Linked DNA regions of Sus scrofa. The protein of the gene in region 1 binds, or shares a complex with, the protein of each later gene. Links are inferred from orthologs where the notes say so. Each region holds a gene or a part of one and is shown in the gene's direction. Other genes may lie near its edges.

Evidence for each region.
Region 2: the proteins of MAPK8 (region 1) and DUSP16 are in contact, whole or in part, in a crystal structure (PDB 4YR8), measured with the Homo sapiens proteins. The link is inferred for Sus scrofa from reciprocal best matches to the Homo sapiens genes MAPK8 and DUSP16. Residues at the interface, in NP_001310257.1 of Homo sapiens: Arg189, Val196, Ile197, Leu198, Gly199, Asp229, Ile231, Trp234, Gln253, Thr255, Val256, Thr258, Tyr259, Val260, Asn262, Arg263; in NP_085143.1 of Homo sapiens: Phe215, Leu267, Asp268, Tyr271, Lys275, Pro279, Ile281, Ser282, Pro283, Asn284, Phe285, Asn286, Leu288, Gly289, Gln290, Leu292, Asp293.
Region 3: the proteins of MAPK8 (region 1) and ATF2 are in contact, whole or in part, in a crystal structure (PDB 6ZR5), measured with the Homo sapiens proteins. The link is inferred for Sus scrofa from reciprocal best matches to the Homo sapiens genes MAPK8 and ATF2. Residues at the interface, in NP_001310257.1 of Homo sapiens: Asp112, Ala113, Gln117, Val118, Met121, Glu126, Arg127, Tyr130, Leu131, Tyr133, Val159, Lys160, Ser161, Asp162, Cys163, Val323, Trp324, Asp326, Ser328, Glu329; in NP_001243019.1 of Homo sapiens: Phe36, Val44, Lys48, Met51, Thr52, Leu53, Lys54, Phe55, Gly56, Pro57.
Region 4: the proteins of MAPK8 (region 1) and MAPK8IP1 are in contact, whole or in part, in a crystal structure (PDB 3VUM), measured with the Homo sapiens proteins. The link is inferred for Sus scrofa from reciprocal best matches to the Homo sapiens genes MAPK8 and MAPK8IP1. Residues at the interface, in NP_001310257.1 of Homo sapiens: Lys83, Asp112, Ala113, Gln117, Val118, Met121, Leu123, Glu126, Arg127, Tyr130, Tyr133, Val159, Lys160, Ser161, Asp162, His286, Val323, Trp324, Asp326, Glu329; in NP_005447.1 of Homo sapiens: Arg157, Pro158, Lys159, Arg160, Pro161, Thr162, Thr163, Leu164, Asn165, Leu166.

Annotation. Positions count from the first base shown.
Region 1 is NC_010456.5:89,070,703-89,078,383, forward strand, and holds part of MAPK8 (mitogen-activated protein kinase 8), read left to right. Parts: intron 1-4,576; coding exon 4,577-4,635; intron 4,636-4,720; coding exon 4,721-4,859; intron 4,860-7,681. UniProt on the Homo sapiens protein: Serine/threonine-protein kinase involved in various processes such as cell proliferation, differentiation, migration, transformation and programmed cell death.
Region 2 is NC_010447.5:59,954,137-59,961,034, forward strand, and holds part of DUSP16 (dual specificity protein phosphatase 16), read left to right. Parts: intron 1-1,653; coding exon 1,654-1,777; intron 1,778-3,942; coding exon 3,943-5,083; 3' UTR 5,084-6,898. UniProt on the Homo sapiens protein: Dual specificity protein phosphatase involved in the inactivation of MAP kinases. Dephosphorylates MAPK10 bound to ARRB2.
Region 3 is NC_010457.5:81,015,443-81,023,123, reverse strand, and holds part of ATF2 (cyclic AMP-dependent transcription factor ATF-2), read left to right. Parts: intron 1-686; coding exon 687-865; intron 866-2,334; coding exon 2,335-2,449; intron 2,450-5,096; coding exon 5,097-5,183; intron 5,184-7,681. UniProt on the Homo sapiens protein: Transcriptional activator which regulates the transcription of various genes, including those involved in anti-apoptosis, cell growth, and DNA damage response.
Region 4 is NC_010444.4:16,568,395-16,576,075, reverse strand, and holds part of MAPK8IP1 (C-Jun-amino-terminal kinase-interacting protein 1), read left to right. Parts: intron 1-1,951; exon of another isoform or gene 1,952-2,255; coding exon of another isoform or gene 2,256-2,326; intron 2,327-3,510; coding exon 3,511-3,616; intron 3,617-5,734; coding exon 5,735-6,049; intron 6,050-7,611; coding exon 7,612-7,681. UniProt on the Homo sapiens protein: The JNK-interacting protein (JIP) group of scaffold proteins selectively mediates JNK signaling by aggregating specific components of the MAPK cascade to form a functional JNK signaling module. Required for JNK activation in response to excitotoxic stress.

The DNA of each region.
Region 1 (7,681 bases):
GGCCTCCTGCCCTGGAATAGAACACCTTTTACCCCTTGCAGCCTGTTTTGTGGCATTAGTGGTTGTGGCATTGCCTTGGTTTTGCATTGGGGAGATGGCCAGTAACATCTACCTCCAGGGTTTAGATGACTGATTGCCGAGAAAGATGGTTCTCTGGACTAAATGGAAAGTTTGTTTCACATGGTTAATCCTTTGATGGGGTTGGCACAGATTGATCCAGGCAGTGCCCTTAGCACATAGAAGAGTGCTGGCACAGAATAGAAACTGAAAATGTACTTCTTCAGTGAATGAATATCAATCTAAAGGTGAGAAAAAGAATGATGATAATTGAACTTTTCCACTCCCTGATGGATGGATATTTTTATAATGTCCTGCCTTTTCAACAGTTTTATGTTCTATACAAGTCATTTTGTCATTAGTCTAAAAAGTCTAGTTTTCCACTTTTTTAAAAAAAATTGTAAAATACACATAATAAAACTTACTCTCCTAGCTGTTTTTATTACACAATTCAGTGGTACTAAGTACATTCATATCATGCATTTTCCACTCTTTTCGTAGATGGTTTTGAGTTTCCTTTTCAACTTGGTTATTTATCTCTCAGTGCACTTGGCTGTGTCAACTAGTACACACTACTGCATGTATGATAGAATCCTCTGAGAGAAACTGAGACATGTCATCTCTTAACCATGGACATTATGTAATCCTGTTTGGAAATCAGGTCACCATTAGACTATTTGACTCATATTATCTAAGCAAGTTATTTTTTGTCACAGACTTTCCCAGTCTTTACTTTTTTTTCTTTTGGTTTTAGAGAATAAGTATAGTATGTTCTATATCTCCCTATTCAATTTCATATGTAAAATTTGGCTCATCTTACTAGATTGTTGGAGAATGCATTCTTTGATTTTTCACTTGTTGGCTTCACTTACCAGTTTTGCTCAGATGCCTTCATACTAGTTGGATTATTCATTAGTAACCTTTGGGTATACTGCAAAAATTACATGTCTAACAAAAAAAATTACACCTATCTCCCCAATTCTTCAACCTATTCACAAGGATATTATTATTAGTGACATTTTCAAAAATGCCTTTTTGAAATCTTCGTATATTATATCTGGTTGCATTTCTCTGATCTGCTGCTGTTTTTGTTGTTTTTACTCACAGAAGTAAATAAAGTTTCTCAATGAATTTTTACATGTTCCTAGTAATTTTTATTTCTTTTGAAGTAGTCATATACCACCACTTAATCAGGCCTTGACTTTTGTTTGTCCAGTCTGTGATCGATGTGATTTTCTTTATTTCTATTTTTGAAAAGCAGGACACCTGTCCATTTTAATCTTTTTCATAACAGCTTTATTGAGATACAGTTCACATAGACCATACAACGAACTCATTTAATGTGTAGAATTCAGTGGCTTTTAGTATATCCACTGATAATGTGTGACTGTTGCCACAGTCAGTTCTAGAACAGTTTTATCACCTCAGAAAGAAACCCCATTCTTTTAGCCTTCATTTCCCCATCTCCCATCCTCCTCAGCTCTAAGAAACCACTAATCTCCTATCTCTATGTGCCTTTCATCTTTAGCACATCTCTTCTCTTCTGGGATTTCCCAGATATTAACTAGAAGAGTTTTACTGTTTCTCCAAGTCTGTCCAATATATGATTCTTCTATTTAGGAGATAAGAATTCATTTAGAGCCACTAGATACTTATTATCATTTCCTCTGTCTTAAACAAATTTGTTTTACTCTCTGATTTTTTTTTTTTTTTGGTCTTTTGTCTTTTTTAGGACTGCACCCACGGCATATGGAGGTTCCTAGGCTAGGGGTCCAATTGGAGCTGTAGCCGCTGGCCTACGCCACAGCCACAGCAACGCCAGATCCGAGCTGTGTCTGCGACCCACATCACAGCTCACGGCAACACTGGATCCTTAATCCACTGAGTGAGGCCAGGAATTGAACCCACAACCTCATGATTCCTAGTTGGATTCGTTTCTGCTGTGCCATAACAGGAACTCCTACTCTCTGATCTGAAAATTATTTTTCTGAATTTATTCACTGAACAAATAAATATTTGAATGGCTTCTATAAGCAAAGCTTTATGCTTAAATGAGTAACATAGATTCTGCCCTTATAAAGTTTATATTGAGAAAAACATTCCCATTCCTAAATATAAAAGATAGGCATTTCAAAAATATATGTCAAGTATTTTCCTATATGCCACAATTATAAAGGGAAATAGGATGTTGTGGAAGTAAGACTATACTACAGGGTGTTAAATGTCATTATAACATAAGATATTGTGGAGACAAGTAGAATACTCAGCTCTGTCAAGGACTAAGGGTTGTCAAGCCCTACAAAAGTGGCCTGTTTTGAAGGTTTAGTAGTTAGAGGTTAGTAGGTTAATGACAAATATAGAGAATAGTATGTTTAAATGCCTTGACAGTTTTTTAAAAGAACAACATTCTTTAAACTAATTTAGTATGGCTAAATTAAACTAATTTAGTATGGCTTAGCAGGAGATGAAGTGGGTCGATGTCCTGTCATGGCAGGCTTTGAATGTACTGCCAGAGACTTTCGGAATTTTTTTGTTGGCATTACGTTTTTGAGAAAGTAAGTAATGTGATCAGGTCTTTTGATTACCATATAGTAGAGGCAGTAAAATAGTGGCTGGACTTGCAGAAAACCATTAGGGAACCAAGTGTTAGAAGTTATTATGGCATGAGCAGTGTTAGAATCCTCAGTGTGTGTAGTAGCACAGGGAGTGGAAGGAAGACGTTGAAGTTTAGACTGACGATAAAATGGATAGCATTCTTTTAAATACTTATTATGGTGCAAATATTGAAAAAAAAAGTAAAAAGTCATTTTTATCTTTCTATTGTAAAAGAAGACACTCTGGAAAAGCAAGGGGTTTGGGTAGGAACAATAATGAATTCAATTTTATATTGTTTTATGAAGCGTCATGTGAATAGCAATGAAAATTTGAGAATCGTAAGCTAAGCAGGGACTTTTAATGCATATTTGGGAATTATCCATAGAGATGTTTGGATAAGAACATATACATAATACCACCCAGGAAAAAGGTACAGATAAAGGAGAAAGATTAAGACAGAATAGTGGTAGAGAGGACATGCCTATGGATGTACTAATGGACTAGTAGTAAAGTTGGGAAAGTGTAATATTAAGAAAAACCAAGGGGCAAAAGGACTGCAATTATATAGAGGTATGGAGTTGGGTAAGAGCTGACAGAAGATGTTTAAGATTTGCTTACAAATTATGTAGAGGATTATATAATGTAGGTCCTTGGTAATTGAGTGTTCATTAATGGAATGGATCTTGAGATACTCTGTTGATATAATCTTTAAGGGTTATTTTTTTAGATTCACAACAAAATTGAAAGGAAGGTACAGAGATACCCCATATACCCCCCTACTCCCACACATGCATAGCTTCCCAGATTATTAACATTTCCTAGCAGAATGGTATATTTGTTATAATTAGTGGACCTACATTGACATATCTTTATTACTGGAAGTCTATAGTTTACATTAGGGTTCCCTCTTGTGATGTACATTTTATACGTTTGGACAGATGTATAATGACATAATGTATGCCATTATAGTATCATTCAGAGTATTTTCACTGCCTTACAGAGCCTCTTTGCTCTGCTTCCCTACTGTTTGCCCCCATACACTGGCCATAAAGTTTGTCTTTGGGTTTTTTGTTTTGTTTTGCTTTTCAGAGCCGCATTTTCAGGATATGGAAGTACCCAGGCTAGGGCAGTTCACATCAGATTTGCAGTTGCCAGCCACAGCCACAGCCACAGCAACACAGGCCTTGAGCCTTGTCTGTGACCTACACCATGGCTTTTGGCAGTGCTGGATCCTTAACCCACTGAGTGAGGCCAGGGATCAAACCCATGTCCTCATGGATACTAGTCAGGTTCGTAATTCGCTGAGCTACAGTGGGAACTCCTGATAAAGTTTTAATGTATAAAATAAGAGAGATTACTTGAGCTTAGAACAGAAGTCTGGAAAAAATTTTACACTGAGAGGTGTTTTGTTTGTTTGTTTTTTTGGCTGCACTCATGGCACCTGGAGGTTCCCAGGCCAGGGATTGAACCCACACCACAGCAGTGACAACACCACATCCTTAACCCACTGAGCCACCAGAGAACTCTTTGAGAGTGGCTTAAAAAAAAGAAAAAAAAAATCCACGGAGTTTCCATTTTGGTGCAGCAGAAACAAATCCGACTAGGAACCATGAGGTTGCCGGTTTGATCCCTGACCTCGCCCAGTGGGTTACGGATCTGGCATTGCCATGAACTGTGGTGTAGGTCGAAGATTCAGCTCAGATCCTATGTTGCTATGGCTGTGGCATAGGCTGGCAGCTGTAGCTCCAATTGGACCCTTAGCCTGGGAACCTTATTATGCTGCAGTCGCAACTCTAAAAAGCAAAAAATAAATAAATAAATAAACAATAAAAATAAATAAATAAATCCATTTATTTGCAGTTCCCAAATGAAAATATTGAGTAATGTAATTTCTAATTTTCCCATTTCTCTGCTTTTACTGCAGATAATTGGCCTTTTGAATGTTTTCACACCACAGAAATCCCTAGAAGAATTTCAAGATGTGTGAGTATGATAATTAAAATTTTTAGTATATTACTCTTCAATTATTACTGTATACTTTAGCTGTCATCTTTTTTCACCCATGAAGTTACATAGTTATGGAGCTCATGGATGCAAATCTTTGTCAAGTGATTCAGATGGAACTAGATCATGAAAGAATGTCTTACCTTCTCTATCAGATGCTTTGTGGAATCAAGCACCTTCACTCTGCTGGAATTATTCATCGGGTTAGTAGAAAAAAACAATCATATTCTCTTTTTAATCATTGAGGTGAAATTCATGTAATGTAAAATTAACCATCTTAAAGTGTACAATTCAGTGATATTTAGTGCATTCACAATAGTGTACAACTACTACCAGTATCAAATTTCAAAATAATTTCATTGCATTTCCCCAAACGAAAACTGCCTACCCATTAAGCAGTCACTCCCATTCCCCTTTTACTCCAATCCCTGTCATCTACCATTCTGCTTTCTGTGTCAATGAATTTACCTTTTCTGGATATTTCATATAAGTGGAATCATATAACACCTGACCTCTTTGACCTCTTATGTTTGGTTTCTTTAACTTAGCATGGTATTTTCAAGTCCGTCCACGTTGAGGCATGTATCAGTAGTTCATTCCTTTTTATGACTGTCTAATATTCTTTTGTATGTATTTACCACATTTTATTTATCTGTTCATCCATTCGTGGACATCGAGTTATTTCTACCTTTTAGCTTTTGTGTGGATAGTACTGTTATGAACACTAAGGTACATGTATTTGTTTGAGTTTTTGTTTTCAGTTCTTTGAGATATCTACCTAGGAGTTGAATTGCAGGTCATGTTTAACTTTCTGAGGAACCACCAAATTGGTTTTCCACAGTGGCTACCCCATTTTACATTCCCAGAAACAGTGCATCAAAGTTCCAATCTTTGCTAATAATGACTTTTTCATTCTAGCCATCCTAGTATGAAGTTGTGTCTCATTGTGGTTTTTGATTTGCATTCCTCTAATGACATTAAGCATCTTTTCATGTTTGTTGGCTGTTTGGATATATTTCTGTTTGTTTTTTAGGGCTGAACCTACAGCCTATGGAAGTTCCCAGGCTAGGGGGCGAATTGGAGCTGCAGCTGCTGGCCTACACCACAGCCACAGCAACACAGGATCCTAGCTGCCTCTGTGACCTACACCTCAGCTCACGGCAATACAAGGTCTTTAACCCACTGAGTGAGGTCAGGGATCAAACACACATCCTTATAGATACTACTCAGGTTACCACTGAGCCGCAGTGGAAACTCCTTGAATATCTTCTTGGGAGAAATGTCAAGCCTTTTGCTCATTTTTTAGTTGGGTTGTTTGTCTATTTGTTGTTGAGTTGTTAGAGTTCTTTATATATTTTGAATACTAGATCCTTATCAGATAAGTAATTTGTAAATGTTTGTATGTTGTCCTTTCACTTTCTTTTTTTCTAGGGCTACACCTGTGGCATGTGAAAGTTCTTGGGGCTAGGGATTGAACTGGAACTGCAGCTGCCAGCCACAGTCACAGCCACAGCCACACCAGTGCCGGATCCAAGCCACTTCTGTGACCTATGCCAGCAGCTCGTGGCAATGCCAGATCTTTTTTTTTTTTTTTAATTAATTAATTAATTTATTTATTTATTTGTCTTTTTTTTTTTTTTTTTTTTTTTTTTGCCATTTCTTGGGCTGCTCCTGCGGCATATGGACGTCCCCAGGCTAGGAGTCCAATCGGAGCTGTAGCCACCGGCCTATGCCAGAGCCACAGCAACACGGGATCCGAGCCGCGTCTGCAACCTACACCACAGCTCACGGCAACGCCAGATCGTTAACCCACTGAGCAAGGGCAGGGATTGAACCCGCAACCTCATGGTTCCTAGTCGGATTCGTTAACCACTGCACCACGACGGGAACTCCCAATGCCAGATCTTTAACCCTCATCCTCACAGACACTATGTTGGGTTCTTAACCTGCTGAGCCACAAGGGGAAACACTTCTTTTCACTTTCTTGATCTCTTTTGACACATATTTTTTAATTTTCATGAAGTTAGTTTATTTTTTCTTTGGTTGCTTGTACTTTTAGTGTCAAATGTATGTAAGAATCCATTGTCAAATCTGACGTCATTAAGATTTACCCTTAGTTTTTCATCTAAGAGTTTTATAGTTTCAGCTCTTACATTTAGGTCTTTGACCCATCTTGAGTTAATTTTTGTATATTGTGTGAAATAAGGTACCAACTTCATTCATCTGCTTATGGAAATCCCATTGTCCCAAGCACCGTTTATTAAAGAGACTATTGTTTTCTCCTTGAATGGTCTTGGCACCCTTGTTGAAATTCAGCTGGCCATGGACATGTGGTTTTATTTCTGGATTCTTAGTTCTCTGTTTCATTGGTCTTTGTGCCTGTGCTTATGTCAGTACCACATTATTTTAATCACTGTAACTTTGTAGTAAATTTTGAAATGGGAAAGTGTGAATCCACCAACTTTATTCTTTCTCAATCATTTTGACTACTTAGGGCCCCTTGTGATTCCATATGAATTTGAGTATCAGCTTTTCCATTTCTGCAGAAAAGGCCATCGAAATTTTAATAAGAATTTCATTAACTCTGTAGATTGGGTAGTTTTGCCATCTTAACTATATTTGTATTCTAATTGATGAACAAAGGAGGTCTTTCCATTTATTTAGGTTGTATTAGTCTATTTGGGGTGCTATAACAAAATACCACAGACTGGGTGGCTTAAATAATAAAATTTTTTTTCTCACAGTTTTGGAGGTTAGAAGTCCAGGACCAAGGCACCAGTAAATTCAGTTTCTGGTGAGAATAACTCCCTTCCTGACTTGGAGATAGCTGTCTTCTTGCCATATCCTCATATATGTGGATATATGTGCATGTGGGAAAAGAAAGTGAGCTCTGATGTGTCTTTCTTTTCTTATAAAGATACCAGTTCTTTTGTATTGGGACCCCACTCTTACGACCTTGTTTAACCTTAATTAACCTCCATAAGGGCCCTATCTCCAAATACATTTACATTGGGGGTTAGGGCTT
Region 2 (6,898 bases), on another chromosome or scaffold:
CACACCCATACCCGTTAAAACGGGATAAAAGGGCAGGAACCACGTAATGTGGGGCTTGGAAAGGTACCGTAAAATCTGAATTACAGTTATCAATTGGGATTGATGAAAACCTCAGCTTTGAGCTTGTTCACAGCCAAGGCTGAAGTGCTAAGTGCAGATAGGTGAGAGGAAGAGGAGAGGTATGTGGGCCCAGGAAGGCATGGACTTGATCTACATATGTTTATGTGCTGTCGTGTTGTGTAGTGTGTCCTTCTTTCTTTGTTTCAGTGTTGTTTGGTATTCGTTTGCTATTGTTTTATTGTGTTTGATTTCCCTGTCCAAAGGGAGGCTGCTTGATTGTTCACATAGTGCCTCAAAGCCCTGTGGTCTTCTGTACAAAACAAACAGTAAGCCATACACGTTAGAAATTTGTAATAAGTGTGACTGAGGTGGTGACATCAGCGTCACCTTGTATTATTCAGCTGCCAGAACAGACTCCCGGGATATCTCTTCATTGCAAACCTTTTAACATAAGGCTGAGTAGGGTAGACTTTTGGTAGCTGTCCACAAAAACAAGACAAGAAGGGAAGCATGTAGCTCATGGAAGCAGGGCCGGTGAGCACACCTGTGACTCTTCAGAATTGAGGCCGTCAGAGTACTGACGTTTCACATCCAGAAAGTTCTCCCGAAGAAAAATAGGCAAACGATAGACAGGTAGGTTTGTGAGTTGGCATTTTAAAGGTAGCTCGACTTGGCTTTTGCTGTGTCGTAAGGTAGTGTCACTGTGTTTAGGTCTCTCTCCCTCCCCGCCCCCACGCTTTTTACATAGTGATGTGTGTCACATGTTTAAATGAAAGAAATTTAATATCTCATATATGTCAAATCATTTTTATGCACCTAAAATACAAAGTTATATGTCAATGATATCTCAAAACTGGAAAAAAAATTAATATCTCTTACGTAATGAGAAAGACAACATGGGAGGAGTTCCTGTTGTGGCTCAATGGGTTAAGGACCCAACTAGTATCCATGAGGATGCGGGTTCAATCCCTGGCCTTGCTCACTGGGTTAAGGATCCGACCTTGCCATGAGCTGTGGTGTAGATCACAGAGGTGGCTGGGATCCCTATTGCTGTGGCTGTGGTGTAGACTGGCAGCTGCAGCTCCAATTTGACCCCTAGCCTGGGAACTTTCATATGCCACATTGTGGCCCTAAAAAGAGAAAAAAGAAAAAAAAAGACATCTGGGTAAACAAAATATTAGCTGAGTCTTAGGATTTGGGATGTTACTTTCTTTACAATATTTTGTATTTCTAAGGTTTTCTACATTAAACAAGTAGAATCATGTTATCACAATGTACAGTTTATACTCAGGGAGTTATTAAAGTAATAATACATAATGGAAGAACATATGCAGTGGAAGTACTGAACAAGAGGCAACCTGAGTTAGGGACAAATGGCTTCTTATTCCTACATTTGGACTTTGATAGTTCTCTGTGGAAATGGTGGGAAACTCATCTCCCCCTCCCTCCTTAAACGAGTATTGAAAGGAACACCACGTACAGAGTCGGGCTTTGAGTTGCCCGCTGAAAGACACTGTGTGAGTAAATGGAAACAAGATTTCACTGCTGAGAAAAGTTGTGCTTAGCCATCCTTTCTGAATTGGACTCACACAGAGAAAGCAAAAGCCTCCAACGGGTGCGTGCTGGTGCACTGCTTGGCAGGGATCTCTCGCTCCGCCACCATCGCCATCGCCTACATCATGAAGAGGATGGACATGTCCTTGGATGAAGCTTACAGGTGAGGACAGGCACGCGTCCTGCGCGACCAGCTTCTCATTGGACCTGAGACACCAGGAGACGTGAGGCTGGGTCACCACGTGAAAGCAGACTGTGATGATTTTAGTTACAGGCTTTACAGGTACTGGGGATTTTTTAAAAGGTGTTTCCAAGATTGGAGAAACATGCATTTTTGTAACTTAGCACTAATTGTCCCTCCACATGTATCACATTCATCCTCAGCTGCTTTTTAAGTTTAGGAACAAATCTGGAGCTCTCCATCCTGTTAGGTGAGTTTATATCTTTCCCTAGTTGGGGAAATACCATTTGTTCTGCTTTTACCTATGAGAAAAAAATGCTGCAGAATACTCATGATAGAATTCCTACTGTGCTTTAAACCTTGAGTCTCTTTTACTGTGAGGAAAAAGCCCAAATCGTCGTCGAACTCCATTTGTGAAGGAGAATTTCCTGCATGCCAGGTTTTCACAGCGTCTGTTTCCTGGGGTCGCCCCACTAGAAGGTGGCAGTGACAGCAGCACCAGGCGCTGGGTTTACTCAGGGATTCATTGAATCCGAGCCCTCTGTGTCTCCTTGGATAGGGGTGGTTAGTTCACCTGTGATAAAGCATCAATAATAGAGGCACACGGAGGCTTGTTGTAACAAATGGACTTTTCTCAAGTTGGAAAATTTGGACAAAAGAAACGAGCTACCTGAACAGCTTCTCCCTCGAGGAAGGAGGTCCTCCGTGCCTGCATCACTCCGCCTCCTCCACCCCGGCTCCCATCCCCAAGGTCCTCCTGCCCTGTAGACCAGCACAAAGGCACCCGTTTAATCCTGTTACAAGGTCTTATCACGAGGGCCCCGTATTTACATTCGTCATAGTTGAGCCTGTTATTTCTGGCTTTGTTCATTTGCTTTAGGTTACTTTGATTTCCAGGAAGCTTATTTTTGATTTTTCTCTTTCCTTCCTTATTCAAATACAAATTTTCAGTATATTTTCACACCTACATCTGCTGAGTGTCCACGAGGGTCAGGGGCCACTAAAGAATTAATCTACTGGTTCTCAGGGTCTTTGTTGCCACCATGAAGCATAAAAAGTTGTTTATTACGTTTTGATCCCTTGATGACTCTTGTGTAACGTGGTGGTTACAGAAAGGAACCCAGGCATTAGAGCTGGTTTTGAATCCCATCCCCATCCTTTAGTAGCTCTGTGATTTGGGCAAGTCACTTAAGGAATTTGGGTACCTCTCTGATGGGGATAGTTACACCCACCAGACAGAGAGGGTAGTTTTGAAGGTCGAATGAGAAAACACTACAGTTCCCTCATTAGCATAATGCTTAGCAGACAGAGGCCACTTTGTACCTAGCTGGCTGTCACATTGAATGCATAGAGAAAGAACTCAGAAGGGTGTGCTTTGATGCTCTGGCCACCTGATACCCTCTCTTTGGGTCATTAACTTAAAATGTGAACTGTCTTGAAGTGACATGCGGGACTTTGACACTGGCAAGTCGAAGGTGGGGCATGGCTGTTCAGCTCTACTTTTTTTTTTTTTTTTTTTTTGGTTTCACTGTGCCCATGGTATGCAGAAATTCCTGGGCCAGGGATCGAACCCATGCCACGGCAGCGACCTGAGCCACAGCAGTGACAATGGAGGCTCCTCAACCCACTCAGCCACCAGGGAACTCCTTCAGCTGTCCTTGTGATGGGAGTGTTGGTGGGGGTGGGGATGTCCCAGGTAGGGAGGAAAGAATCATCTCTTACCAGTTGCATCGGAAGTTTGGGTCCTTGAAAATAGTGGGGCTAACCTTAGAACTTCAGGGGCCTGGCTCCCCTCTTTCTGGTATCTCCAGGGACACGCTCTAAAGCTCTCCCCCCATGCAGAGGCCCTTCTCTTCTACTTGATGGTTTCCCTGGACTTTCAAACCAGTCATCTTCCAAAGGTCTTGGGAGGATCTAATAATCCCCACGTCATCCATTCACTTGATATAGCTTAATAACTTTGGGGGGGGCACCCATGGGATCCAGAAGTTGCCCCTCCAGGGATCGACCCCACGCCACAGCAGCGACCAGGGCAGCTCTTGAACTGCCCACCCCACCCCACCCCCCGCCGCCAAACTCTAGTAACATCCTTAAAGATAAAAGGTGGCTGTCAAATTCAAGTCTTTGTTTTTTCCCTCTCGTCACAGATTTGTGAAAGAAAAAAGACCGACTATATCCCCGAACTTCAACTTTCTGGGCCAGCTCCTGGACTACGAGAAGAAGATTAAGACCCAGCCGGGCACGTCGGGGTCCAAGAGCAGACTGAAGCTGCTGCACCTGGAGAAGCCCAGCGAGCCCGGCCCCGTGCCCCCGGACGGTGGGCAGAGAGGCGAGCCCACCCCCGGGCCGCCCTGCACCCACCCCACTACCTCAGAGGCGACCGGGCCTCGGCCTGGGCTCCCCACCCTCAGCCAGCCCCCACCGTCCGAGGACAGTCCTCTGGTCCAGGCGCTCAACGGGCTCCACCTGCCCGCGGACCGGCCAGAGGACAGCGGGCGGCTCAAGCGCTCCTTCTCCCTGGACATCAAGTCGTTGTCGTACTCAGCCGGCGTGGCCGCATCCCTGCACGGCTTCCCCTCGACAGAGGAGGTCCTGGAGTACTACAAGCCGCCCTCTGCGCTGGACGGGGCGGGCAAGCCGTGCCAGTTCTCCCCGGTGCAGGAGGTGTCGGAACAGACGCCGGAGGCCAGCCCCGACAAGGAGGAGGCCGGCCTCCCCCAGGAGCCGCAGCCCCCCAGGCCCGTCGACGGTCCCAGCAAGCGGCTGCACCCGGTGCGGCCCCTCTTCTCGCCCCTGCACCGCAGCGGGAGCGTGGAGGACAACTGCCACGCCGGCTTCCTCCTCGGCCTCTCGGCCAGCCAGCAGCACCTCGCCTCATCGGCCGCCGGGCTGGGCCTCAAGGGCTGGCACTCTGACATCCTGGCCCCCCCGACCTCCACCCCTGCCTTGAGCAGCAGCTGGTATTTCGCCGCGGAGCCCTCTCGCTTCTACTCCACCTCGGCCGTCTACGGGGGCCCCACCGGCTACCCCGCCTACAGCTGCAGCCAGCTGCCCACCGGCGGTGACCCAGGCCACTCCGTGCGCAGGCGGCAGAAGCCCGGCGACAGGGCCGACTCCCGGCGCAGCTGGCACGAGGAGAGCCCCTTTGAAAAGCAGTTCAAACGCAGAAGCTGCCAGATGGAGTTTGGAGAGAGCATCCTGTCAGACAAGCGGTCCCGGGAGGAGCTGGGGAAGGTGGGCAGCCAGTCGAGCTTCTCGGGCAGCATGGAGATCATCGAGGTCTCCTGAGAAGCAAGGCACCTGCGACTTCTCTGGACCGTTCTGTCCTTGTTCACAAAACTTATTCCCTGTAAATCTGAAATATATATATGTACATACATATATATTTTTGGAAAGTGGAGCTCTGGTGTAAAAGCAAAAGATGGATCAGCACCGTTGTCCTTTCCAACATCTGCATTTGAGAGCGCAGCTGGTATTCCTCTCAACGCCAGCGGAAGGGCAGGTGCTCGCTCTCCCCCGACAGGTGACACACTTCTGTGCAGCGGGTTGCACATCCTGCTGATCGTAGTGAATCGAGTTGTGTTGGGGTGTGAGGGGACAGAAGCCCCCATTGTTTTCTTGTCGTGCTACAGAGCGATCTCAGACACTAGTCCTGTCCAGTCCCTTCTGCAGTGCACCTTAGCACTGAGACTGAGCCAGCCTGTGGGTCAGGTGGGGAGACCCTACTAGGACCAGAACCTAATGGTAAAGCCGAGAGCAGCGAGCATCTCCCAAGCTGATTCACAAATCCAAGCTCACCTTAAGATAGCTAAGCGATGCGAGCATCGTTCTGCTGACCGACCGTCAGGGGCCTTGCTAAGATTAACTTTAGAGCAAACCCAGTACCTCAGGCAGAAAGTGGGGGCGTTCACCACTACCAGGTCCAGCGGCCCGGTTTCTAGGCATGGTGAGTAGCTAGTCACACCTTTCAGACCAGTTCCGACCGTCTGGGCACACGTTTCCAGCCAGGCCTGGATGGAGGTCGCTCATTCTTCCTTCCTTCTTCTCTTTGTGAAGAAAGGGATGCTCTCTAGGATTCAAGGTGACAGCCGGGAGTCTTGGCGGCGTGATCTAAGCTAAGGTCGGGAGGCTAAACAAGTCTACCTCCCTCTTTATAAATCAAAGAATTGTTCGAGCTGGGATTGTTAATCCTTTCAATAAGGATTAACTAGCTTTCAAGCCAGATGTGAATTTATGGGGTAGCAGAGCAGCAGCACCCTCAAGTTCTCAGCCACACCAGACACACGAGTTTTCTGTTTCGGTTCCCCTGCACAGATGTGTTTTGTGAAAATGGACCGATGAGGTAGAATTTTATAGGAAATGACCAAGAGGGAGAAAACTGTGCAAGGATTAGAGACGGTCAGACTGCTGAGGAGAAGCAGGAAACTGCTGTTTTCTCAGTGGCTTTTCCCGTCAGCACGCGACGAGGGTGGTCTTTCTCTGATTTCCTTGGATTTCCAGAGTCCCCATTAGGGCTGAGAGAGGCCTGGGTGAGGAAGCAAGGCCTGGTCGGAACCAGCCAGGAAGGGGAGGAAAAGACGGTGGATTCTGTTGCATGGCACACACAGGGGAAATACACAGCCAAGCTCTTCTCAGAAACTATCCTCAGCTTTTTTTTTTTTTTTTTTTTTTTTTTAGTAGAAGGGACATATCAAAATGGAGCGGGACCAAGGGGTCTCCGTCTGTGACCTACAATCACTGTATGGAATCAATCCTGGCAGCTGAAAATAGGAGGTGGTTAGAACCAGTACACAAGTGGCCGTACTTACCTGCTTTGAAACTTACTGGCTTGAGTTTTGTCAGCTACAGTCTGGTCCTGTTTTGAAGCCTTAATTCACGTCAGCAGCTTTTTTTTTTTTAGGGTGGCGGGTGGGTGTCAGCGTTGTTCTTTACTGTAAGTGTAGCTAGTTGCTGACTCATATCTCAGGTTTTTCTACGTGTGAGAAATGGACAGTCCTTTGAGTAGGATGTGACTTCATGTTTCCTATGGTGACAGCTAAAACCAGCATAGAATGACATGATTCAAAACTGACTTGATCGTGACGATTACAAGCTTCATAGAAC
Region 3 (7,681 bases), on another chromosome or scaffold:
ACTCCTGGACCTGTCTCTTCTTTATACAATATGATGATGGAGTAGGACTAAGTAATCCCTTCTAGGTTTTAAATGCTTTTGCTTCTATGAGAATGGGATTGAATTTTTACTTTTTAAAAATTCTTATGGAATTATAGCAGAGTTGCCTTGCCTAACTTGTTTCTAGGTTGATGATAAAACAAGTGGTGCTGAAAAAAACCACTCAGATATTTCTAAATTAAAGTATGAACGTTGATTTGAAACTTTACAGCTGCTTTTTGTTTGTTGGTGGTGGGGGGTGTTGGTTGTTTTTTTAGGGCAGCACACATGGCAATATGGAGGTTCCCAGGCTAGGGGTCGAATTGGAGCTGTAGCCACTGGCCTACGCCACAGCAGCAGCAGATCCGAGCCGAGTCTGCAACCTGCACCACAGCTCACGGCAACGCTGGATCCTTAACCCACTGAGTGAGGCAAGGGATCAAACCTGTGTCCTCATGGATGCTAGTCAGATTCGTTTCCGCTGAGCCATGACAGGAACTCCTATAGCTGCTTCTCACACTTTCTTTTAATTAACTTTACATATTAATATACTTGGGGAGGGTATTAAGTATTATGTTTGTGGTTGTTTTTAAAAATATATTCTGTTCACTAAGGTAACATGAATTGCACTTTAAATTGCATTCTTCCTCTGTCTCACTATTAAATAGGAAGTACCTTTGGCACAAACTGCACAACCCACATCAGCTATTGTTCGTCCAGCATCATTACAGGTTCCCAATGTGCTGCTTACAAGTTCTGACTCAAGCGTAATTATTCAGCAGGCAGTACCTTCACCAACCTCAAGTACTGTCATCACCCAGGCACCATCTTCCAACAGGCCAATTGTGTAAGTGATTTGGGCCAATTATTGAATTATATGAATTAAGTTTTTCTTGTCAAAATTTGTCCTAAGATATTTGTGTGTTGATCATATTTTACATGCTTTGAATTTTAGAAAAAGTACTTGGGTAGTCTTTTTTTTAATAAATATAAGTATTATCTAATAAACTAGAAAACATAATTTTAAAAACAAATCAATATAAAATGTGATTTTTAAGATGATCTCTTATTTTCATGCTGTTTCACACAAAATACATAAAATTACTTTTATCACCAGGTAACATTTCTTTTAGTTCTTAGAGGTAGCTCTCAAGAGTTTTCTGGGTAGGAACTTTCCTCATCTAACATATTGGAGATGATCCTAAGTAAATTCATAACTTTTTCCATTTTTTTCTACACTGTTTATATACATTTTGCATATAAGATATAGTTAAAATAGATTTTACAGTGTGCTTTGTAGTGGTTAGAAAATTTTTGTTTTTAGTTGAGTGGTATGTATATGCCATGTATAATTTTTTGTGGGTATTTTGTTCATTATATGAGAAAGATGGTATCAGGTTTCATCTGTCAAATGGGCATTTTCCTTAGCCTGGAGCTGCAGGGTTTTTTTTTTTCTTGTTCAGTTTTATTGAAATATATGGTAGAACCTTGAACAGCACTTTTTGAACTGCATGGGTCCACTTAAAGGCAGATTTTTTTCAACAAATACATACTACTATACAATTTAATCTGAACTTGGTTGCATCTGCAGATACAGAGGGCCAACTGGAAGTTCCACTCATATTTTTCACCATACATAGGATCAGTGCACCAACCCCTGTGTTGTTCAAGGGTCACCTGCAGTTGACATATAGCAGTATATACATTTAAGGTGTACAGCGTAATAATTTGACTTACATACATTATGGAGTATTCCCAACAGTAAGTTTAGTGAATATATTTCATCTTGTACAGATTCAAAATTAAAAAATATTTTTTTCCTTGTGATGAGAACTCTTAGGATTTACTCTCTTATTTTAACAGCTTTCATATATAATGTACAACAGTGTGAATTACATTGATCATGTTGTACATTACATCCCTGGTACTTATTTATCTTATAACTGGAAGTTTGTACCTTTTGACTACCTTTATTACCATACAAAGATGATATTACATTATTAGTGACTGTGTTCCCTACACTGTGCATCTCATCCCTCTGACTCATTAATTTTGTAACTGGAAGTTTGTACCTCTTAGTTTCTCTCATCCCTCTACCGTCCCTCCCTCTGGCAGCCGCCTGACTGTTCTGTTTCTGTTTTGTTATGTTTGTTCATGTTTTGTTTTTTAGATTCCACATATAAGTGAATTCATATAGTGTTTGTCTTTCTCTAGAAAATTTATTTTTAAGTGATAATAAATAGAAATACTCTTATAGTTTTAGAGATTATTGACATGGATTTGTTTTTTATAATTACCCTTCTGTTATTTTCTTAGTCCTGTACCAGGCCCATTTCCTCTTCTGTTACATCTTCCTAATGGACAAACCATGCCTGTTGCTATTCCTGCATCAATTACAAGTTCTAATGTGCATGTTCCAACTGCAGTCCCAGTAAGTTTGAAATTTAGACTATTTAAATCTTTTCTTTATTACAAACTGATCTTTGTAATCAGAAAATACACCTGGGGCTGCCTGATTAGTTTTATGAAAGGGAATCCAATGAAATACTTATTAGTGGTAAGTATTTACTCACTGATATTTTTTGTGATAGCATTTACCTTTCAAGGCAGACATAATTGGTAGAAAACATTTTTCCATCCTCAAAATGCTAATTGTTTTCCTTATATTTCTGGTATTAAGAACTTTATTCCTTGCTCAACCCATTTGAATTTGCTAGAATGTAGAATTCAAACTAACACAGATTTTTTTTTTATTCTTTATGAAGATATTTATACTGGAACATTTATCAGGTAACTCACAGTATTTTGATTGTTATAGAAGTTGTTTAGAAAAGCACTCTCTGTGAACTTTTATGGTCAAGTTGGGTTTACAAAATTCCTTTGCTGTCCCAAGCGTGTGAAAATCTAAATGGTCTAGTAGAAAGTCCCCCACTTTCCTAATGAGAAGTTCTAAAACAAAAGTTCTGAGGAGCATGTTAGAAAAACAATAGATAATAGTTAAATATCTACTTGTAATATTTAATAATTTAGTGAATATTTAAAAGCATATTCTTTGAATTAACATTAACTTAGAAATAATGCTTTTTTCCTATTCTCACATTTTATGAAACTGTTTTTACTCAGATACTTCACATGTGTCTTTGACATTGAAGTTTTCATTATTAGAACCAATTTTTAAGAAATCCAGCACAATTTTCCAAAACACAATATTTTTATCCTCATCTAATTAATTTCAATTTAACATTTTTTTAATCAGTTATTATTATAACCTGGGAAATCTTAATACCAAGCCCTAATATTCACACATACAATATAAAGACAGTTTCTTCTTTTACCTTGTAGGTAGATATTTCTGATCAGTTCAATATAATCATTTGTTCTATAATTTTGGGGGATTTTTTTGGGGGGAGAAGGGGGGGCCAGTCACCTCCACAGCATGTGGAAGTTCCTGAGCCAGGGATCAAATCCAAGCTGCATCTGCAAACTTCACCACAGCTGCAGATCTTTTTACCCACTACATCAGCCTGGGGACTGAACCAGGGCCTTGTACAGACACAAGCTGGGTCATTAACCTACTGTACCACAGTGGGAACTCCTCGTATAACTGCCTCCTTACAGTAACATCCAACACTTTTGGTGAAATTATATCTTCAAGAATATTACTAAAATTAATGTTAAATATTTCTTTTTTAATTGGTTTTTCTAATTGACTTTTCTAAGTATCTAAGCATTGATTGAAATAATTTCAGGATGTGTTGTCTTCAGACAGAATTGTGCTGTTCAAAATGCATTATTTGAGAGACTTTATAAGGACTCAAACGTAAGGTGACTACTTCCTCTTTTCTCAGGATATTTTTGAGGGGAAAAAGATGACCTGTATCTGGGATTATATGGTTATCTTGTTAAATGTAACTGCAATGAAAGAAACTGAAATGGAAAAGAAATATCCTTTAGGTATACAATAACTAATCATTCATTGTTGAGATTAGTTTTTTTAAAAAAGGCAAAAGACAGTGGAAAAACATGTTCCATATTTTTTTTAGGGCCACTCTCACGGCACATGGAGGTTCCCAGGCTAGGGGTCGAATTGGAGCTGGCCTTCGCCACAGCCACAGCAACGCCAGATCCAAGCCTTGTCTGCGACCTACGCAACAGCTCATGGTAACGCCAGATCCTTAACCCCCTGAGCAGGGCCAGGGATTGAACCTGCATCCTCATGGTGTGTTTCCCCTGAGCCAGGATGGGAACTCCCCATATCATTATTATTATTATTAGAAATAATCAGGTTTTCCTTTGTCATTATGCATTATATTAATATATCAAAGAACTTTCATTTATGTATTTTAGAAATTTTACATATATGTATTTTAGAAAAAAAATTCATTGTTGAAATTATTTTTTATGCCCAATTACTAAAAGTTTTGACATTTTTTCCTTTTTCATTCAAAATGGAAGTGTGACAGATCTGTGAGAAATTTTGAACCAGTCACTTTGAATATTGTGATTTTCTATAAGAAGAAATCATTGAGGAGTTCCCATGTGGCACAGTGGTTAACAAATTCAACTAGGAACCATGAGAGTGCAGGTTCGATCCCTGCCCTTGCTCAGTGGGTTAAGGATCTGGCATTGCTGTGAGCTGTGGTGTAGGTTGCAGATGTGGCTTGGATCCTGTGTTGCTGTGGCTCTGGCGTACGCCAGCGGCTATGGCTCCGATTCGACCCCTAGCCTGGGAACCTCCATATGCTGCAGGAGCGGCCCAAGAAATGGCAAAAAGACCAAAAGAAAAAAGAAGGAATCATTGAAAAAATAATGAAAATTAAAGATTAGGGAAGCAAGTATCTCATAGAAATTAACTTTTGAAGGCTAAAGTAGGATTAAGATCAATAAAGGGTTAATATAGAGATGCAGTTTTCTGATTCTGAGGTCTCCAATAATTATATTTAATGTATATAATATATTGGCATATATTAATATATATTGTTATAATTTGTAAAGTATTATAGTAGCCACTGTGTAAGTAAAGTACAAATCTCTTGAATATATTCTCAAGCAGTTCTTTTTCAATATCTTTTGCATAGCTTGTTCGACCAGTCACCATGGTGCCTAGTGTTCCAGGAATTCCAGGTCCTTCCTCTCCTCAGCCAGTACAGTCAGAAGCAAAAATGGTAAGCAAGATTGTATTTGTTGTGTGCATTTTCCTTGAGCCTGTTTTGAATTAGTTTTTTCCATTAAAGTTCAATTCAAATGCACAATTTAGATCAAGTTTTATAAAACTGTGGACTATATTTATATTATAGAAGAACTAGAAAGTTTGGAAAAGGAAAGCTTTCATTAACATAGTGACAGGTTAGTGGTACTTTTAAAACAAACAGATAGATTGGGAGTAAAGTTCTAGTTCTTGTTGGTTTTTGTTTTTGGTGTGGCTTTTTAGACAAACTCTCCTCCTGCTGGAGGCTTAGGGATATTGCAGCTGAAACTAGATGTATATCATCTGGAGACAGTGCTGATATAATAAGTGTTTTAAACAGTGATACAATTGAGTAGAACAGTACTAACAAAAATTCTGAAATAGTATACAAGTTAATAAACACTGTACATAATATATAAAAGGAAAACCATATTTTTGAGTTGTGTTTCAGACACTAAGAAATTGGTGTTAAGGGATGAACATGATCGTTTTAATCCTAATTCTGCTATTCACTACCCCTAATCAAATTCTCATTTTCCTTTATCTGTTTTTTAAAAGGGGGGTGGAATTACGCTTTAATTTCTAGGGTCTCCTTAGCACAAAATCCTACTAACTTGCTAATTTTCTTGGAAGAAGATTTGAAGCTGCTACTTTGGGGCAAGGGTAGGCAAGCTTGTTTTGTTGTTGTTGTTGTTTTAAATCATATAATTCTTCCTTCTAAAGTCTAATATACTTTAGGGCTAATTCCCTTTAACATCAGTCAATGAATGTATCCTTAGAAAATTGGTAATTAATTACCTATTGGTTTCAGTTCTGTGCTAGGCACTATATTAACAATATAAATCTTTACACATAAAACCTGTTATGTGTTATTGTCAGGCTTTAAATTTTTTACTGCTGTTCTCCATTAGTGCAAATAATCAATCTAAAATGGCCGCTAATAACTTCTATACCATTTGAATGAATAATGTTGAAGAATATAAAAATTAGCTGGTTATGGATTATTGTGAGAGAACTAGAAAACCCAAGAGAGGAATTTTTCACATAACAGCATGTTTAGGTCAAAGCCACGGAAATAGGAAGATGAATCTTTTTCAATTGATAGCAGAAGAGCTTAAGGGAATGTTTTTTACATTTCCTACTTTAAACATTACTGTTCTAATGAAAAGTTCAATTAGAACTGAGTAGAAATAGAAGTTAGTGATCCTGTTGTACACTGCATTTTAAATATTTTTACATATTCAGTGGACACGTCTCCCCACAAATTAATTCAAAAGGAACAAATCAGATTTAAAGAAATATTCTTTGCTACAAGAGCAGGCCATATTTGCAAAAACTGTTAAATTTACTTCCCTGAATAACTTTCTTTTAGGTCACTGGGAAATTAATAAGAATAAAAGTGTTTTGGAGTTCCCGTAGTGGTGCAGTGGTTAACGAATCCGACTAGGAACCATGAGGTTGCGGGTTCGGTCCCTGCCCTTGCTCAGTGGGTTGGGGATCTGGCGTTGCCGTGAGCTGTGGTGTAGGCTCGGATCCCCTGTTGCTGTGGCTTTGGCATAGGCCTGTGGCTACAGCTCTGATTAGACCCCTAGCCTAGGAACCTTCATATGCCGTGGGAGTGGCCCTAGAAAAGGCAAAAAGACAAAATAAATAAATAAATAAATAAATAAAGTGTTTTGTATGCTTGTATATTAAAAAACAACAAAGGTATATTTCAAAAATTTATATATGAAAAACAGTCATTGGTTGAAAGCCCAAAATATAGCATGGAGAGTCACAGGTTGCCCCACCTAAAAATCCAATAGCCCAATTAAATTTATTATTAGAATTTTGTTAATATATAAAATAGCCTTAGTTAGGTGATTGCCTATTTTAATTGGGATAGTAAATAAGATTGCCCTGTTTTAGTTGAATAAAAAGATCAGAAATTAGTCTACTTTGGAAATTAGCCTATTACATTTTTTTAAGCTTCTAATTATGGAAGATTTCAAACATACACAAAGTCAGTGAACCCCCACATCCCCATCACCCAGCTCAATTATTAGCAATATAACTGCCATTCTTGTTTCATCTATACTTCAGACCACTCTCTAACCTTAATAATTTTGTAATAAGCCTTTCTTAATGTAAAATTTACGTAGATTGAAGTGGACTGATGTTAACCCTACAGTTTAAGTGCATTCATATAACTCCCATCCCTGTTATGGTATAAAACATTAACATCTACCCAGAAAGTTTATCTCCCTTCCCAGTCAGTCCACCTCCCTCAATTCTTCTGATATTTGTCACTAGCAGTTGTAATAGAACTTCGTAGAAGTGAAATCAGTATATACTCATGTGTTCAGCCAATATATTTGATTGTTCTATGTATAAGTTTGATTCAAGAATTTTCAGTGCTTGCATTGTCATTATCATCAATATCAATTATATAAGTACAAAACAAATCTACCTACCTTTGGGAATAACCTGGAAATA
Region 4 (7,681 bases), on another chromosome or scaffold:
GCTTTGGTGCTCCTCATCTGTAAAATGGGCTTATGGCTCTTCCAAAGCTGGAGTGAGGATGAAGGGAGATGCCGAGGATAAAGAAGGCTGGAGGCTAGAGCACCCCGCCTGCCGCTCAGGAGATGGGGCGGCCGCTCCTTGTAAGTGAGGGAGTCAGGATTTGATCTCTTGTCTCCAAACCTGATATGGCGGCCATTCTACCGTCCTGCCTGGGTTATGAGAAAAAGTAAGATTAAGGAGCTCCCTTAACCCGTTCCACTGGAGCCAGGGATCAAGTGCAGGCTTTTGCGCCCCAGCCCATGCTCTCTGCCGTTGCCCTCAGTACCCTCTGTCCGTCATCTGGAGTGGCTGATACAGCTGCCCCTGCCCGACCCAGACCTGCTGTCCCAGGAAGTGGGAATATCGGCTGATGCTAAGATCGGGCGTGTGGGGATGAGCTGAGAAGCCCCAGCCCATGTCCAAGCCAGAGCCTGCAGGTCTTCCCCGAACACGTTGGTTTGAGAGGAGCCAGTGGAGACCGAGGCTGTCCTTAACAGACATCTCCTGAGCACCTAGTGCATGGGAGATGACCGTCCCAGCTCTGCCCTCCAGACTGCACTGGGTTCATCATCTGCTGGATGCAGAGCAGGGGGTGTGGGCTCCATGTACCCCTGAGCTGCCTGGGGGGTGTGTGTCTGATGCAGGCTGAGTCCTGTCTGCTCTCAGACCCTGCCATGCCTCCATGCAGATGGTGACACCAACCACAAGTGAGGGAAATGACAGGGGACCAGGAGGGCTTCCTGGAGGAGCAGGCTTATCTGAGCCTTCCACCAGCAGGCAGAGGTTGAGATCCTGCCACGTGCTCCACCCAGACGCTGGGTTAGACTCTGGGGAGGTGGGTGCGAGAGACAGGCAGTCCCACACGGAGCTGCAGATCTTGAATGCCAGGCCGAGGAGTTGGCCGCTAGCAGGGAATCCTGGAGGGTTTTGAGTGGAGGACAGAAGAGCAGTGTTTCAGGCGGTGCAGGCCGGCTGGTGGGGAAGGCCAGGGACAGAAGATGCAGGAGCTTGACTGAGGATGGGCAGACACAGATCGGGCACCTCTGGGTCAGACATCCCCATGGTCCTGCAGCTGTCCGGTGCTGGCTGAGTGGCAGGGCTGCCCTCTCTGGGTCTGGCCAGGCGGCCAGTGTGCATTGACCATCTGCTTAGTGCCCACCTCTGGGTTCTCCTCCCAGGGCCAGAGATGCCACCCTGCACCAGCCGGACAGAGCAGGGCTGCCCTGGCTTCGGGCTGGGCTCCCTCCCCAGAGACCCCTGATTCCACACCATGCCCACCCCCAGCCCTGGGAAGCCACCATCCTCGGGCTCCAGGTCAGAAGGGGCCTGAAAGAGCACTTTGTCCATCCAGCCCCCTGGCGCTGGTCAGAATCCCACTGTGCCCCTTGCCATTCCCTCTAGGGGCCTCCCGGCTTATGTCGCCCCGCCCCGCAGTGGCAGGAGACTCCTTCCCTCCCTTCCCTCCAGGGCCCGCACACCCCTCGCCCTGGCCTGTGCCTCTAGGCACTTCCTGGGTGGGTGCTGAAGTCTGAAGCCCCAAGAAGGGGGCAGGGTTCTGGCTGCACTCAGGCAGGCAATAGAAGCAGCCCCGACCCACCCCAGGCAGCCCTGTGTGGACGCCGCCTGGGCCCACAGAAACCTCCCTGATGGGGTGTGGGGGCTGAGCGAGTAGCTGTGGAGATGGGGCATCCACTTCTGGAGAATTTCAGAACCCCCTCCCCCAGTCTGGCCACCGTGAACCCTAATTGTGGTGCTGGCCCTTTAAAGCAGATCAGGGGCTGGCTTTTGGGGGGAAATATCCCAGATTTCTGCCATCTGCTTAGAAGCCTGGACCAGGGAGGGGGGCCACCCCATCCCCCGACAGGGGCATTGGAAGGGCAGGTGGAGCCGGTAGCATCGATTGCAGTAACCTGATCCCGCGGGGGAGGCGACAACGGCAGCGGCAGCGCAAAGGCCGGGGGAGGAAGCTGCCTGCAGCTGAAGGCTGGCTGGGAAGAGCTGGGGCCAGGCCGGTCCGCAACCGCTGCCTCTTCCCCCAGCCCATCTATTTTTAATGAGCTCCCCGGGCGTCTGCAGCGGGCAGGACGCAGAAAGGCAGGCCCAGGCTGTGGAGGCCCGAGGCCCCAGCCCTGCCCCGAGCCCTGGCCCCCCCACCCTTCTGGGCATGAGAGGGCGGCCCCGGGGCTCTGCAGCCCCCGGGCCGGGCAGGGCTCTCCATGCAGCTGGTGCTGAAGATGGATTCGAGCCCAGACAATGACAGCTGGTTGGAGGATCAGTGGGAGCGCTGGTAGGGGTGCGGGGACCGGTGGGGGAGGGGGGAGCTCCACTGAGCTCTGGGTCTCTGTTGGTCGGGTTGAGGCAAGAGGCCGGGGTGTGGGCCTCCGAGGTTCCCCTGGGGCTGAGCCCGTGACCTTTCCTAAGTGACCTTGGACCGGGGGGTCTCCCTTGCTGTGTGCCTCAATCGCCTCGTCTTATTGAGGAAAAGACTCAATTCTCCCCAACTTCCTTAGCAGAATTCTCCCAGTGTCCCTCCCACATTGAAGCCTGCAGAGTGTCTGGGGCTGGGGGGCTGGAGAGGTGAGGGGACCCGCAGGGAGCTCAGTGGCTGGGACAGCCCCGCCCTGGGGGGCTTTTAGGGCGGGCCGGTGGGTGGGGGTGGGGTGGGGGGGTGGGGAGAGGGTCCCAGGACACCCAGTTAGAGATTCGATGCTGAAGCGCTGAAGCGCTTGGGTCTGCCTCTGAGCCCAGGCCACCTCCACCTTCCCTGACCCCCGCTGTTCAGGGCCCAGAGGCTGGGGCAGGAGGATTGGGGGTGTGCGCTGATGGGACCAAGAACAGAATGGGGCACGGTCTTTCCTAGAACAGCTAAAACCACCCACATTGACCCCTGCATTCCCGTGCCTCGCTCCCAGGGCTTATGAGGCATGGGACTTCCTGGGCTGGGGACATGGAGTGCTGCTCCAAGGTGGAGCAGGGCCTCTGCCAGTACCTCAGGTTTGGTCACGGCACAGATTGTACAGGGAACCCCCACTCCAGGCATCCTTTGGAGACTCTTCTCATCTCTCTCTGTCCCCTCTGTGGCTGAACTGGCCTTGGCACCTGCCTTGACCCTGGAAGCCATTTCTCTGGCAGAGCCTCAGCTCTGACCAGCTGGGCCTTCTAGGCAGGGCCTCCTGCTTGGCAGCAGGGTGGACATCTCCCAGCCCAGAGGAGCTGGAATAACCCGGGGCCTCCCTTTCCACTGCCCCCCCCCCCCGGAGGCCTGCCTTTTGACTCGAGCCCCAAACTCTTTCCCTTTCTGTTCAGTACCCCTTGCACTGGTGCAGGGGGAGCCCAGGTCCCATCCTCTGGGGGCTGCGATCTGCCTTCGAGGGGCTGTCCCTTGGAAGAGCTATTAGGGAGACATCAGAAGGCCTCAGTCCGCTGACAACAGTCCCTTGAGTGGTAACTCTGGCTTTCTGTCCCCATCAGGCTCACCCATGACATCAGCCTGGAGGAGTTTGAAGATGAAGACCTTTCCGAGATCACTGATGAGTGTGGCATCAGCCTGCAGTGCAAAGACACCCTGTCCTTACGGGTAAGGGCGGGCTCTCAGGAGCCCCTGAGTGGGGTGGCAGAATGGGTAGGGACAGGAGTGAGAGCGCTTCTATATCTAGAGGGGCTTTCCGCGTCTGCGTGGCATTCTCATTAAATGAAATAACATGCAGGAAACATGCAGTGTGATGCTTGGCTCCTATCTTGATGGCTCAGATTTTTTAAATTATTTATATATTTTGCCAAGGGCAAAGGCAGGAAGCAGCTCCTTCAACTGCCCAGAAGGAAGAGAGCAGGAAGTCTTGAGGTCTAGGACAGTAGCAGTTAGGGCCAGAATTAAGGGAAGGTTTGGGACTCCCCTAATTCCTTTCCAGAGCGGCCATGGCAGAAGTCCTGAGGCAGAGCAGGGTGGAGTCTGGCAGAACCTGCAGTGCTTTGGGGCAGGACAAAAGAGCCAAGGCACTCCCTTGGCCACCACTGCACCAAGCACACCCCACAGCCTCGCAGACCCTCTCTGGCCCACAAAGGAGGCCTCTGGAAGGTTAATCCAACATTGCTGCTGCTTTGGGCCCCATGCCTTTGTCACAGGACAGATGGCTCCCACTCCCAGAGTTCTGAATCCCACAGGAGGTGGGGATCCTGGGCTGGATGGGGATTCTCCCTTGTCTTTCCAGAACAGGAAGAAGGGGCTGCTAGCCAGGAGAGGGAAGGCAAGCACAAGTCTAGGTTGCAGAGCCCAGAGCTTCTCTCAGCTCCTGGGAGGGTGGGTGGCCCTAGTAGACACGGTGTTGGGGGAATGGTTAGCAAAGGAGAGCTGCAGTGAGTTGGGTGGGGTGCCTGTGTTGACCTTTTCTTGCCCCCAGAGATTCTGCAAGCTCTGCCAGGCCAAAGGAAACCAAAGGGTGAGGCTAACCCTCCAGTACCCTGTACCCCAACCCACCACCCTCTGGCTAGGCCAGGCAGGGATGGAGAGAGAGGCTTTTTTTTTTTTTTTTTTTTTTTTTGCTTTTCAGGGCCGCACCCGTGGCATGTGGCGGTTCCCAGGCTAGGGGTCAGCCTTCGCCAGAGCCACATGCGGGATCTGAGCCACGTCTGCGACTTACGCCACAGCTCACAGCAACGCTGGATCCTTAACCCACTGAGTGAGGCCAGGGATCAAACCAGCCACCTCATCGTTACTAGTCGGATTCGTTTACCGCTGTGCCACAACAGGAACTCCAAGGCCATTTATTGTGGACCAGCATAGCTTCTCTAAGGTCATACACCTGTTGGGGACTCCCACACTGTGCTCTCCCCAGACTTACACAAGCTGAGCCTTGAAGAGGGAGAGGGTGGTCCTTGCAACCCGCAGGACCCTGAGGCAGTACCCTGTGGGGCCTTAGACAAGCTCCAGGGGGCTTTCACATAGTATTGCCAGTGAGTCCTCACCTCTCTGGGAAGCTGGTAGGCAGTTAACTGGTGAGGGACCTGGAGAGTCGGGGGATCTCTCCAAGGTGTCAGGGAGTTCATGGCAGAGCTGGAACTAAAACGGGACTCTTAACTGTCAAAGTTAGGCTGGCCTGAGAGAAAATGTCAGGTTGGAGGGGCCTCAACCTGAGGACGGGGGAGGGTGGGGATGCCACTGCCTCTTCAGGTGCCTCCCATTTGCTCAGCATCCCTCTTCCAGCCGCGCTCAGGTCCTCCTGTCCTCCTGTCCGCACTGCTTCCCTCCCGCTCTCCCTCCCCTGGCTAAGATCGGTTCCTCCGTTTTCCTCACTGCCCTCCTCAAAATACTAACCCCACCTCCATCCTTTGCGGGGCTGAACTCCTTGGTGACCCTGCGTCCCCATGGCAACAGTGGTGACCTCACTCTGGGCTCGGCTTACTACCAGGATGAGGTCACTGGCCGTTGCCAAGGGAACGGGAGGGTGCAAAGAATCGGGAAGCGGGGAACAGTGGAGAGGGGAGAGGTATGGACTGCGAAAGGCACCGACTGACGTGGGGAGGAGGCGGCCTTGCCCATCCTCGAGGGGGCAGGAGGGCACGGTTCCCTCTCGCGGGGCTCCCTCTCTCCCCCTCTTTGCCGCCGCGGAATGGACTCGCCCGCGCGGGGGGCGGTGCGCGGCGGTCTCGGCCCCGCCCAGGCCCCGCCCCCTGACGCCCCTCCGTTCGCGCCACGCAGCCCCCACGCGCCGGGCTGCTGTCTGGGGGCGGCGGCGGCGGCGGCGGCAGCGGCGGCGGGGGGAGCCGGCTGCAGGCGGAGATGCTGCAGATGGACTTGATCGACGCGACGGGGGACACTCCCGGCGCGGAGGACGACGAAGAAGAGGACGAGGAGGAGCGCGCGGCGCGGCGTCCGGGAGCGGGGCCGCCCGAGGCCGAGCCCCGCCAGGAGACAGCGCCCCGCGGCCAGAGCCAGGGCCCGGGCGGCGGGGACACATACCGGCCTAAGCGACCCACCACACTCAACCTCTTCCCGCAGGTGCCGAGGTCTCAGGTGAGGCGCCAGCGGCTGGGGGCGGGGCTGAGGGGGCGGCGCCCTGGGGCAGGGCCTGGAGAGGTGTTAGGCACACCTGGCATCTCAGGGCCCAAGGCTGGGGATCGGGAGGGATTGCGGGAAAGGGACTTGCTGGTCTGGAGCAGGGAGAAGACTCCAGCCTACCAAGACCTTTCAAGGCCTCCGAGGGGGAGGTCTCTGGGGAGGTGGTCGCAGAAGGCAAGTCGAATCTGCCCTAAAGAGGGGCCGCGTGGGCCTGGCTGGGTTTGGAATCTTGAGCCGAGAGACTGAAGGAATGAAGGGGCTGAGAAGGGCAGTGGAAGGATCCGGGTGAAGAGGGAAGTAGAGGATTCAGAGAACAGGGCTTTGAGGGTTTGCAAGGCTATAGGGTTCCTTCCTGGTGAAGGTGCTGGGGGGAGCTGAATCTGGAGAAAAGGGCGCATGTGATGTGGCGAGGGAAAGTCGTGGGAAACTGTGATGAGCAGGGCATGGGGAGCAGCAGCCGGTGTGAAATGCCGGCAGCTGGGGATTCCCAGAAGCCGGCACGAGAAATGGGAGGTGGAGCTGCTTGGCTGAGTTGGGGGCCTAGGGCCCCTGGGCCAGGTGGCCGAATGCCAGGGAGGGTTGAATAGAGCGGGGAGAGCCGGCTGTGGCCCATTGTCTTCCAGGCCCAGTCTGGAGAGGTGCAGAGGAGCAGCTCTAGGAGGTGGGGCTGTTGGTGGAGGGTGCAGGGGCTGCAGGGAAAGGATTGGTCCCTTTCCCAGGATCCTCTGGGCTGGATTTTGGCAGCCAGACTCATGAATGTGAGAGCCTGTGAGGGTGTTCTCAGAGGAGGGGGCCTAAGTTGTACGTAGGGAGCCTTGTGGGTGGGCATCGTGGCGGGAGGGGTCTCAGGGGACTGAGAATGTGGGGTGGTGTCCCAGAGATCCAGGAGGGAGGGCCTCTGACAACTACATCTGTCACTCCTCAGTCATGTGCTCCTGGTGGTGGTGGTGGTGGGGTGACGACCATGTTCTGGATTTGTCATTTGGATGATTCATCCTGGTCCCCCAGGCCAGCTGCTGGGGAGACCCTTCCTCCTGCCTTTTTCAGGCTGTACTAGAATGTCTCTGCCTCTTTGCTAGGCCATAGCTTTCAGGAGATTTGGGCTGAGAGTGAGCCTCTTCCCTGTGACCCCCCCCACCCCACCCCATGCCTGAGACTGGGGATCTGGCTCTTGCCTCTCCCCCCACTCCCTCCTGGACTCCCCAGCACACCCGGCCATCCCCACCTTTGTTGAGGCTGATAGCGGCATCTCCCTGAGGGTTGGCCGGCTTTCCCGAGCCAGGAGGGTGGGCTGTCTAGAGCCAGTAGGCCTTAGCCGGGAGGGCTGACACTTGCCACCCCTCCTGCCTGCTCCAGAGGGTTGGGGGTGAGGCCCTTGGCAAGTGGTAGGGAGCAGGGGTGGGGATGAGGGAGCAGCAAATGGCCTAGGGATGGCCTGATGGGGGCAGGGCCGGGACCTCCCTGTGCCGGGCACTGTTGAGTGCTTCTGTCACAAGGCCCTTTTGTCCCCTGCACAGGACACACTGAATAATAATTCTCTGGGCAAGAAGCACAGTTGGCAGGATCGGGTGTCGAGATCATCCTCCC